Elephas maximus indicus: one gene and its partners. The protein of the gene in region 1 interacts with the protein of each later gene in a pairwise test. Links are inferred from orthologs where the notes say so. Each region holds a gene or a part of one and is shown in the gene's direction. Other genes may lie near its edges. The genes, in order: PRR3, ASF1A and KHDRBS2.

Evidence for each region.
Region 2: the proteins of PRR3 (region 1) and ASF1A interact in binary tests that used the Homo sapiens proteins (3 or more experiments, as listed by UniProt). The two-hybrid records come from large-scale screens. The link is inferred for Elephas maximus indicus from reciprocal best matches to the Homo sapiens genes PRR3 and ASF1A.
Region 3: the proteins of PRR3 (region 1) and KHDRBS2 interact in binary tests that used the Homo sapiens proteins (3 or more experiments, as listed by UniProt). The two-hybrid records come from large-scale screens. The link is inferred for Elephas maximus indicus from reciprocal best matches to the Homo sapiens genes PRR3 and KHDRBS2.

What each region holds. Positions count from the first base shown.
Region 1 is NC_064819.1:90,905,682-90,909,430, forward strand, and holds the start of PRR3 (proline-rich protein 3), read left to right. Parts: upstream 1-1,387; 5' UTR 1,388-1,584; coding exon 1,585-1,690; intron 1,691-2,353; coding exon 2,354-2,416; intron 2,417-3,749. Other genes in the region: GNL1 (guanine nucleotide-binding protein-like 1), read right to left, coding at 371-443.
Region 2 is NC_064819.1:186,030,121-186,033,869, forward strand, and holds the start of ASF1A (histone chaperone ASF1A), read left to right. Parts: upstream 1-1,086; 5' UTR 1,087-1,418; coding exon 1,419-1,527; intron 1,528-3,749. UniProt on the Homo sapiens protein: Histone chaperone that facilitates histone deposition and histone exchange and removal during nucleosome assembly and disassembly.
Region 3 is NC_064819.1:124,917,459-124,921,207, reverse strand, and holds the start of KHDRBS2 (KH domain-containing, RNA-binding, signal transduction-associated protein 2), read left to right. Parts: upstream 1-1,295; 5' UTR 1,296-1,523; coding exon 1,524-1,614; intron 1,615-3,749. UniProt on the Homo sapiens protein: RNA-binding protein that plays a role in the regulation of alternative splicing and influences mRNA splice site selection and exon inclusion. Binds both poly(A) and poly(U) homopolymers. Phosphorylation by PTK6 inhibits its RNA-binding ability.

The sequences.
Region 1 (3,749 bases):
AGGGGCCATAAGATCCCCCTCCCCAGGCGGCCTGGCTCCTCCTCACCCCACCGCACCTCTTTCGAGGCCGGGCCCTTCTAGTCAGTCGGCCCAGGACCCCCCCGGAATTGCGTGAGGGGACTCACCCCTCCTCCAGAGAGCTGCGGGGATGGCGCCCCGTACGAGCTGAAGGGATTCCCCTCCCCCAACTCCCTCTCCTTCCCCATCCCTTCCAGATGTCGGGGGGCTAAGGTGGAGGAATCTCCTCTGCGATCGCCGGCGCGGGTCGTCGCGCGCTCCCCCCCTCCCACGCCCCCCAGAGGTGCGGAGGGCACACCTCTCCCTCCAGATGTGCGGGAGCCCGAGCCCCGCCCCCTCCTCCCTCGCTGACCTCGCTTCCGCTCTCGCTTGTCCTGCAACTGCTTCTTCTTCTGCTTCACGCTGAAGGGCTTCTTCCTCGGCATGGCCCGGACCAGACACCTGGCCCGCCCTCCGCCGAGCTCCCTCCGCCTCAACTGACTCCCCCCCGGCAGCCCCCGCCGCAGGGCCCCGGGACCCTAGAAGGGGCGGGGCTAGCAGGTGACGTCAGCGGGCGGGCCGGGCCACTCACCGCGTCGGCCTGACTGAAAGGCGGACAGGGCAAATACAGTCACTTCCCTCCAGGAGCGTGGCGAGAGGATGATGCCGCGTGGCCTACCCGCGCATGAGAGCCGGTCGCACCGAGAGGGCGCAGCGGCGGCAAGGAAAGAGGTGCGCGTGGGAGGATCGGGCTAACTTCGTCACGGACGCTACCAACTCGCTATCGGAGGAGGGGAGACGTATGTCATCACTACCTTGCGCGGCCGGCGAGAAGCTACCACTCACCTGGAGGGGGAGGCGGAGCGGAGGGCGGGCCCTACCACCCAGGGGAGAAGGGGGCGGGGACACATAGAAGCTCCCTTACCAACCCGGAGGCTTGACCTTAGTGGAGAGCCGAGACGGCGCGTCCCAGGAGTGAATACAGGTTGCTGGGCTACAGCTAGGGGCCGGGGCAGAGGTCCTGAAGGGCAGGTGGCGATCTGAAGAATCTCGGGCGCTGCTCTGCTGGGACCCAAATTCTTTGTGAGAATGATGACAAGGAGCGAGTTTACAGATTTATGTATAAGCGCGGGCGAGGAGGAAAACCTACATGGGATAAAGACTTTCGGAGAGAGGTCGGAGGGCACGAAGTTGTGCCTGCAGCTGTTACCATGGTAACCGGGTACCGGATGTGGCGATCTTAGGATGCGACAGCCCTCGCTTCTCAGGCCTCCTGGCCCAAGACCCTCTCGACTATATGGCACACTGTGAGGAACGGGTTGTGGTGTTTTCTCTGCGGCGAGGAAGAATAGAATATTTTTTAAGCCTCTATAAAAACGCAGCAAAGAGAAGGTTCTACATCGCGTCCATGCCTGGCAAAGACCTGAGGATGCGGCTGCAGCAGAGACTCCCCGCAGCCTTCCGGAAGTGAAATGGCGGGAGTCTCAGCCTCACTGTCCACCGTCCCCCCGGAAGCGGAAACAGAATCCCAGCTTGCCCCTTCCTCACTGCCCTCCAAATTCTACTGCAGCCATTCCCGCAGCCACGATGCCAAAACGAAAGAAGCAGAATCAGCAGCAGCAGCTTCCACCGCCGCAGCCCCCACTGCCAGAGCCGGGAGAGACTGGAGACGAGGACGACAGAAGTCCCATCGGTGAGGAGCCCGGGAGGTGCACCTGCCTGTCAGCCCGTCCTGGCGAGGGGCTAGGGGCTGACAAGGTGGGGAGGAGATCCTCTAATGGAAGAAGGAAGGGTGCACGCGCTGGGAGAGGGGGCCTATCTGGGATGAAGCCCTGAACGTGGAGTTCTCTTATTTGGACTTTCAACCTTAATCTGACCCCCAAACCTTTTTAGAGAAGGCAGGGAGGAGAGGATAAAGAGCTCGTGCGCGCAGCCGCAGAACGGCAGGGGAGAGGAGCCGAAGAGAGGTTGCAGATTGGGGTGACTAGGATGATTTGTGATCAGATTTTCACAGGAAAGGTGAAAGTGCAGCCTTTTCTCAGCTGCTCTCTGGGGGGGGAGGGATGGGAAGGAGAATCACCTGGGATGTTTTGAATATCAACACTGTAAGAAAAATAGAAAGTTGTCAGTATCCTTCCCACATTATTCTCCCCAGGGCTGAGTCTCTACTTTTTGCAAACCCTGACACAGGTTTGCAGAGAAAGGGCAGATAAGTGGAGTGAGAACTGGGCAACATGGCTGAGAATATATTTGGCTTTGTTGGTTGGACTAAGAAATGTGTAATAGAAGAAAAACACACGTAAGAACTCAGTCATTTAGTCCACTCTAGTGACCATATTTTCATGTCTACTCTCAGGACCACCCAGCCTTCTGGGCCCTCCCCCCATGGCCAATGGAAAGCCTGGTGACCCCAAGTCAGGTGAGAAGGAAGGGGCCCTGAACCTTGGATTAAATCCTAGAGAAGGGAGCAAGGGAGGGAGTAAAACCCAGGCGGGACCTTAAATCAAAAGACCAGTGCTTCTGTGCCTAAGTAAATGGAGAGATGTTGATAGTCACAGAGTGGAAACTCAATGTTGTAAAAATGTCATTTCTTCCCAAATTGATCCATAGTTTCAATGCATTCCCAGTCAGAATTCTATCATTTTCTTGTGGAGATAAAGATTCCACCTACATGTCAGAGTGATAAACTGCCAAGATAGTCTTGAAGAATAAAATAGAGGCCTTACTCTGAATATCAAAACTTAATTATAACAGTATGGTATTAGCACGGTGGTAGACCTATAAGTCAATAGAACAGCACAGAGCTCAGAAACAAGCCTACACGTATATGTATTATGATGAAGGTGGCATTAGAAAGGTGGTCTTTTCAGTAAATGGTGCTGGGTCAATTGTATGTTCGTGTGGGAAAAAACAAACTCTTAATCATACTGGGTACAAAAATCAATTCCAAGTGGACTGTAGATCTATAAGTGTGAAAAGTAGAAGAATAATTCTAGAAAAAAGTTCTTACCACCAAGAAACACACACACTAACCGTAGAGAAAAGATCACTAAATTGAACTATGCTAAAAAATATAAACTTCTGTTTATTTAAGAGCGCAAAGGAGTCCCTGGGTGGCACAAACAGTTAAGTGCTCGACTACTGGCCGAAAGATTGGCAGTTCCAACCCACCCGTGGGGCCTTGGAAGATAGGCCTGGCAGTCTGCTTCCAAGGATCACAGCCTTGAAAACCCTAGGAAGCAGTTCTACTCTGCATATATGGGGTTGCCATAAATCGGAATCAACTTGAGGGCAACTAACAAAAAAACTCAAAAGGAAGTGATAGAGTGAGAGAAGATGTGTGCAATGTATGTAATCAATGTGGAGCTTGTATTAAAGAGCTCTTCCAGACAGTCTGTTAGAGAAATGGCAAAAGATGAGAACAGGCACCATCAGAAAAGAGGAGATCTGACTGGCCAATAACATGTGAATAAATACTCAACATTAGTCATCAAATGAATGCAAGTTATAAACAACACCACTTTTCACACTCGCCAGATGACTAAAATGAAAGACTGGCAATAGCAAGTGTTGTCAAAGATATGGAACAACTGCCAGTGGGAGTACAAATTGGTACAACCACACTGAAAAAAATTGACATTAGCTATTAAACTTGAACATACATGTACTCTGTGGCCCAGCAGTTCCTCTACTACGTATATACTCAACAGAAATGCATACATAATGTGTGACAAAGACATGTATAAAAATGT
Region 2 (3,749 bases), about 95 Mb from region 1:
CCGACTCATAGCGACCCTTCTCCCTAACCCCCAAACCCAGACCCAGTGCCGTCGAGTCGATTCCGAGTCGTCAAGCAGCAGAAATCCACATTTCCTCAGTTAAGACCTGAAGTGGTTACAGGCAAGCAAAACCTCTTCAGAATCTTGTTTGAGGTGCCACAAATTTTTAACTTCATAACGGTATAACCGTTAATTTTTTTAAAAGATCAAATGTTTTGGTATACCTCTGTGTTCTTTTTCATTTTCTATTTATTGCCTTTTAGCGTCCTCACGCTTTCTTTTTCACCTTTTACGTTCCTGCTATGCCCTCCAAATGGCAGTAATTTTGGGGGGTAACAGATCACATCTCTAGTAACGTTTTTCTCACCCTAGGAGTTTTCAGATCTCGAATGCAGACGAAGATGACCCAGGTGCAGCCCAAAGATAGCCTATTCAGATTTTCCACGCAAAGTGTGTGAGTGGAAAAGCATCTCCTCATCTTTTATGTCTATTTATCCAACGGTGCTGTCATGCCCAAAAGCAGATATTGCCCAACCACTAAAATTTCCAAAATGGCTTTACTCCTTTCGAGCTGGCATAGGGCTATAAAATGCAATTTACTTCCACTGCAACCAGTCCTTCCCTCTACTCCAAATACTACCCGATACATAGACAACTGAACTGAATCTCATCTCCTAAATTCAGCGGAAAGCCGGCAAGGCCCTTGATTGATTTAAAAAAAAAAAAAAAAAAGAGCTCAGTTAAAAAAAAAAAAACCAAGATGCAAAACCGAGGCGGGCGTCGCCCGGGATCGCGCCCTCCCGCCGCCTCCGCCACTGCGAACACGCCCTAGGCCATGTGGCCACGCCCCCGGCCGTCGCCGCCGCGGCCTCTCCTCTCACCTCCCTCGCGGTGGTCACGCCTCCCTCCCCGTGCCCGCCGCGGCCACGCCCGACGTGAGGCGCGGGAGTCGCCGGGCCGGGGGCGGGGCCTGCGCCGCCCCTCCCCCCGCCTGCGGCGGCGTCCTCCGCGCGGGCCTCCCAGCCCGTATTCCACTCACTTTGTTCTCCGCCTTTGTCCTAATCCACACCAGCAGGTGGAGCCGCAGTTAAAGTTTCCGAGTCCATTCCGGGAGCGGGAGCCCATCTTGCTCGCTGCCGAGGCCCTTGCTGGAGGAGGAGGGTCAGAGCTCCGGTGCAGCCAATCGCGGCCAACGCTGCTAGTTATCCGAGCAGAATGGGCTGTAGTTTAGTGAAATAGGAAAGCTGCAAAAACACTGAGTGCTGCCGTGTAAATAAAAAGGAAAAAAAGTTTCTCAAGTCGCCACTGCACGACGTCGGGCCGGCACCGGGGCGGGGGTCTGCGCTCACCGGAGCGGCCGCACGCTGGACTTTATTGTGCCGCAACAAGCCCCGTCCCCATTGTTTGTTTTTCAAAATATGGCAAAGGTTCAGGTGAACAATGTAGTGGTGCTGGATAACCCTTCTCCTTTCTACAACCCGTTCCAGTTCGAGATCACCTTCGAGTGCATCGAGGACCTGTCTGAAGGTGAGTAGCGGCGCCCGCCGCCCGCCCAGGCTGTCAGTTGCGGGCTGCAGACGTTGAAAGTTTCCCGGGCCCGGCCTTGCGCGGCTGGCGCTGCTCGGCGCCCGGCGGCTGCGGTCTCAGCTCTGCGGAGGGAAACTTGAAGTTGATGGACGACGGCCCCTGAGGCGCGCGCGGTGTTCGGCCGCAGCCAAGGCGTCTGCCGCGGCAGCTCAAGTTGCGAGGAACTTGTTCGAGCGGAGGTAGCCATGTTGTCAGCTTTGTCTGGGGGGCGGGAGGTTCGCGAGACCCTCACTCGCGCCCGCGGTGGCGGCGGGTGAGGGGCGCGCCGGGCCGGCCCCCCGCCTCGAACGGCCTCCGCGACTGCCGCGGCCCCGGGGTAGAGGCCCGGGAAGGAGAGGCGTGTGTGTATGTGGCGGTGGCGGCGAGTTAGGAACGGAGCCATCTTACCAAGACTGGAGAATTGGGCTACGGACGCCGGCGTCACGGCGCCTCCTCTTCCCCACCGCGGGTTCTGAACCCGCGCCCGGCCTGCCCACCTTCCTGCCCCCGAGTGAATGGGAAGTCCGTTTTTACAGCTTACGGAAGAGTTGCCCTACTCTCCTGGGTGGCCATGCCCGGCCGCCTCAGGGAGGAGAGCGAGGCTGTTCTCGCGCTGATTTCTGGCTCCCTCGACCAACCAGCGGGGGAGGCGGGCGCAGGCTCGGCCCCTCCGTGCCGCGGGCTGGGCGCCGACGCTCCCCGGGGACCGCGGGCCCTCCCCGGCCAGCCACCGGGCTGCTCCGGGTGCCCGGGGATGCTCCGGAGCCCGGGATGCTGGCGCGTAAGCTCGCACCGACGAACGTGAATTCCTTTTCCTTAATGACTAAAATCTCCTTTCCTCTCTCTCAGGAAGAAAAATGTTTCTAAGCTAGAAAGTTACATTTAACCCAAGAGCACAAATAAGTAAAATCCTTAAATTTCCAGGACTTAATCACTGGCTTCTAAATAGTCAAAGAAGACTTGGCTTCAAGAACGTGTTGAATTCTAACTAAAATAACTCCACATCCACACAGATACAGAATACATTCTGAACTTTAAACACAAAAGTGAGCTAGAAATAAAAGGTAAAGTCCTGATGGCAATGCAAAAATTTTCACTATTTTTTTCTAAATACGTTTAAGGATTTTAAAAAAGATAACTATTTTTAGTATTACAGTAATAAATATTTGGAAAGTGAAAACTTGCCAAAGTCTTACCTTTGCTTAACTTCGATTTTATTAAATCAATACAGTGCTTCATTTTCAGAATTTAGGGGAAAAAAGTTTAAGCTCATCAATGTTAATTTTACAGTAGGGGCTTGCTTCTTTGAACCTACATGTATTTTTGACAAAATACATTTAAAATAATTGTGCTAATCATGGCATGCAAAGCATTATTTTCATTAAAAAAATTAGTTTTTAACTTCTATAAAGTGTATTTTACATAGGGTGGTAACTTTAATAAAGCAATATTTGCTCTTTATACTTAGTTTTAAACATTGTATGTACAGATAGTATATAAAGTTAACAGTTCTCTAGTCATTGTTTTCGCCCATCTCCTTTAGGTAACCACAATTAACACTTTAATATGTGTCCTTCCATCCAGTTTTAATAAATACAACAGAGTAGAACTGCCTCATATAGTTTCCAAAGGAGCGCCTGGTGGATTGGAACTTCCAACCCTTAGGTTAACATAACTATATATATTAAATATAAGGCATATTTTGAAAGATCTATTTATTAATCTAATTGCTAAATTGATTGTAAAATTAAAGATGCTTTTCCTATTATTTGGAAACTGCTTGATAACTCTCTCATAGTACAACTACAAGCATTTCAGATACCAGGCTCATTTTTCATACCTAACAGTTTTTCCTTTTCCTTGCCAACTGCGTATAAAAGTCAGGGAATGTAAGAGAAACCATAGATCAGTCCCTTCCAACTTTCGCTACAGTGTTTTAGGCATTAGAAGTTCAAATTACAGTTATTTCTCAGGTGATGCCTTCCATTTTAAGACTCAGCTCTCAACAAGGGAGATAGAAGGTTCAGGATGTTGTACCAGAGCTGTTATATCGGATGGTTGAAACCCGCCGTTCATGGAAGCCAAATTACTATGTTTTCCATTCAGAATCCAGCTGAATCACACTTAAGGTTTTTACACTACTGATGTCAAGAATACACTTTCTTCCACTTTTACACCTCATT
Region 3 (3,749 bases), about 34 Mb from region 1:
TTTCTAGCGATCTTGGCCCTTTTCCTCCCACACCAAAAATGGTGGAGGGAGGCATTAAAAATGATTGTGAAAAGAGAGCCCAAGACCACGGGAAAGAGTGGTTTATAGAATTTGAAGAACACAGCCTAGATTTTAAGGCCCCTTGGTAAGAAAGGCCTGGCCAACTATTTCTCAAACATGAGCCACTGAAAACCCAATGGAGCACAATTCTACTCTAACACAGATGGGGTCCTGGTGATTCAGGTAAACTGCACGGCAACTAGCAGCTGGCTGGTTGTTTTTATCTAAGAGAAGGATGGGCTGTGCCTCCGCTGTTGTTAATACTGGGAGGATTAGACTCTCCCTTTAAACAGAGGTGGGAAAGATATAAAGTAGCTCAGCGACAATGCCTGGTGAAAGAAACTGTCACATCTACAATAAGGAAAAAAAAAAGGGGGGGGGGGAATTAGAACAACTGTAGTTGCCTATTTTTCCTTCCTCCACATGTCTTCTAATTCCTTCACAAGCTGTGGCCAATTGATTATGTTGTTTTTAGTTTTTTTTTTTTTTATTTTTTAAATTCACTCCTCTTCCCCGGCAATCTCTCTCCCAAGGGTAGGGGGAAGGAAGGCTGGATGGGAGGGAAACCAGAACTAAATCAATACCCCGAATGATTGCGCTCTGGGTCGTGTACAACAATATCGCCCCGGAGCCGCTTTATTTGTTTATCTGCGTCCCTGAGATGTAGGTCAGGCTCACTGAAAATACCAGCCGCCGATCACATGCAGTATTCATTATATTTTCAGACCGAGTGCACGGCTGATTACTGCAAAACTGGAGTGCATCTGAGCTGCGGGAGAGGGAGAAGACACCTGTGCCTTTGGGACGCAGGTGAAGTCCCATCTACGTTCCGGAGACTTTCCCTGGCGCTTTCCCATTCCTTTTTTGCTCACTTCTCACCCTCATTTTTCCTGCTGTCTTGGACCAGAGCCTCTCTGTATTACCGGTGCTTTTCCCGCTCTTCTCCATCCGAACCTCAGCTGAAGACACAGAGGGCTCCATAGAACTGGGCATGCCTAATAACCAGGGAAGGCTTGCGCTGCAAGAAGAATGCGTTTGCACCTTCTGAGCACCCCTCCCCTCTGCAGCTGCCTCCTGCCAGTCAGGCGATCCGATGTGCAGCGTGGCCCAATAAGACCCTGTCGCCTTCGCTGGGGACCCGCCTCTCCTTGCACCACCACCAATGAATGGTTGGCAGAGGTGGGACGCACCGTGTTCCCGCCTCTCCAGTTAAGGCCGCTGGTGTGAGCCCGGGCTCCGCGCGAGCGAGGGACCGGGGAAGGGACTGGCAGGTGTGGGCGCGGGGCCGCGCAGCCCGACGGCGGGAGTCACAGGCACTCAGTGCATGGGCCAGTGAGGACGCGCGGAGATCCCCGCGCCGCGGCGGAGGCGGAGCAGCGCAGGAGCTAGGCGCTGCCTGGCGACCCTGCGTCCGAGCGAGCGGAACCTTGCGCTTCGCCCGGGGACGGTCCGAAGTCCGAGCTATGGAAGAGGAGAAATATTTGCCTGAGCTGATGGCAGAGAAAGATAGCCTGGATCCATCTTTTGTGCACGCATCGCGCCTTTTGGCGGAAGGTAGGACCTGCCCCCTGCGATGGGCACGGGCCACCCGGCCGCCCATCTCGCCGCCAGCTGGGTTAGGGGAGTGAAGTTGGGGAGGGACGCCTGTCTCCACCTTCACAGAAACTGTCCCTCTGAATGAAGGTGCTCGCCTCACCCCTCGGGCAGACAGAGCCCGTTCTTGGAGTGGGCACCTATGCTCCTTCTCCTCCACGTCTTAATTTGTGGAAGACCAAAGCTGCGAGATCTACTGCCAGTGGAGATGTGGACCATTGATAGAGAAACCATAAAGTGTAACGCGGTCTACAGGGACATATTCACGTCGCAGAGGGAAGGGAAATGAGTTTGGAAGTAAATGGTGATCAGTGTAGTGTTCTGAGAGCTTTGTATAGCTACAGATCAGCATTTTTTACTGCATTTGGGAAGTGATTTTGATACCCTTTGATCTAATTAGTCTTTCTTATGGAAAGTATTAGAATCAACCTAGATGTAAGTATGCATGTTCGTGTATGTATGTGAATGTCGCAAGCAGACGCGCAAGTGCTTATAAATTTATTTGAAGTATGATGATTAGGTACTAGTTCCTAGGAACGCTCCTCAATTGATCAACTCTTTTACCAAGTATGCATTTTCTTTTATGTACTTGTACTGTTAAAGGAGATTCCATTCCCAGAGGAATATGTGTGTCTTGTCTTTTGCATTGCTTTGAAAGGTCGTCTAAAAAAAGACACGCACGCACGCACACACACACACAACTTCTGCATGGCAGAAATATTAACCAATTACTCCATTTATCATGAAATACTACCCTCAAAATGATAAAGATTCCTACAGTATCTGTAGTAATCTATACACACTTAAAAAAAAGTACAGACTTTTTGGATGAAGGCTTCATGAATAATGAATTGCTTCATCATCAAATTGGCTACAGTGCAGTTTTGTAGCTTGGGTTCTTATGGATTTAACTACAGTAAAACTAACCGTGACAACTTTCTCTTTCTCAGCCCCTCAGCGTTAAAAGAAATGCCATTTTTGAGACTTAGTTGTATGTGGAAAGATAAATTTTTCTACAACTCCATATATGATTCAGTAGGCATTAGGCTTATTTTAATATTTTATTGATGGATTATTATGTAGGATAACAATAAAGCATAAATTGTGTTCTATCTTTGCCTGGAAAAAATTTCTAATTAGAATATGGAATATATGATTGAAACAACTGAACTGTTTTTCAAGAAAAATGCGTTTTGTGAAGGATTTGCGGAGGGTAAAGTACAGTTGTGCTTACTAGTTTCTTGGCTACTGAATGGAAAAAAATAGAAATTAAAGTTGAGAATAAAAGTCAATTAAAAATTTTAAAACTACTGCAAAAATTAAGACCGCTAGGTAAAAATACTAGGAATATTGGAAATTAATGAAGCTATAAATGTTCAGGATTGTTCAAAAATGGCTTGAAAATGCAATTAAGCCTCTTCGAAAAGTTTATTTCAATATATTTTTCAGAAGTGTCTTCATTTAGCTAGTATGTCTTAAAATGAAAAAAAAAAAGTTACAAATTGATCTTTTTCTCCAACTTGCTAATTGGAGTTCTCTTTGGGACTGCATGCTCCATGATTAATTCATCAGTCATTAATGAGATTTATTGTACTTTTGAAAATTAAACTAAAGCAGTGCATAGGAGAAACTCTTAACAGAGTGCATAGATACTTCTGCAGCTGGTAAAACAGCCAGAGAAGGTTATGCACCTGGTTTCTTAACACTTTTTCTTTCCCAGGAACTTGATTTCATGATACCTGAGAAACATGGTCGGATGTACCTTGTAATTTGATTTTTTCCCAGTAGGGGGAAGCATGTCCTGCTTTTGTAAAGAAGAGAAAAAGCACCTAAACAGAAGGGGACAGCATCTAAGTAAGAAACAAAGAGAGGTGCCCAGATTTCAGAGACATAAAGGGCAACAGAGAAAGTGATGATTAATTATCTTGGGGTTCACTATGACTTATGCCAAAAGACGCATAGTGTTTAAATTACTTCTGTAGTTGTCTCCAGGGCTTTTATACCTACTTATTAGAGAATTTTTTTTTAAAGGAACACTGGTGGTGTGGTGGTTACAGTGCTGGGCTGCTAACCAAAAGGTTGGCTATTCAAACCCA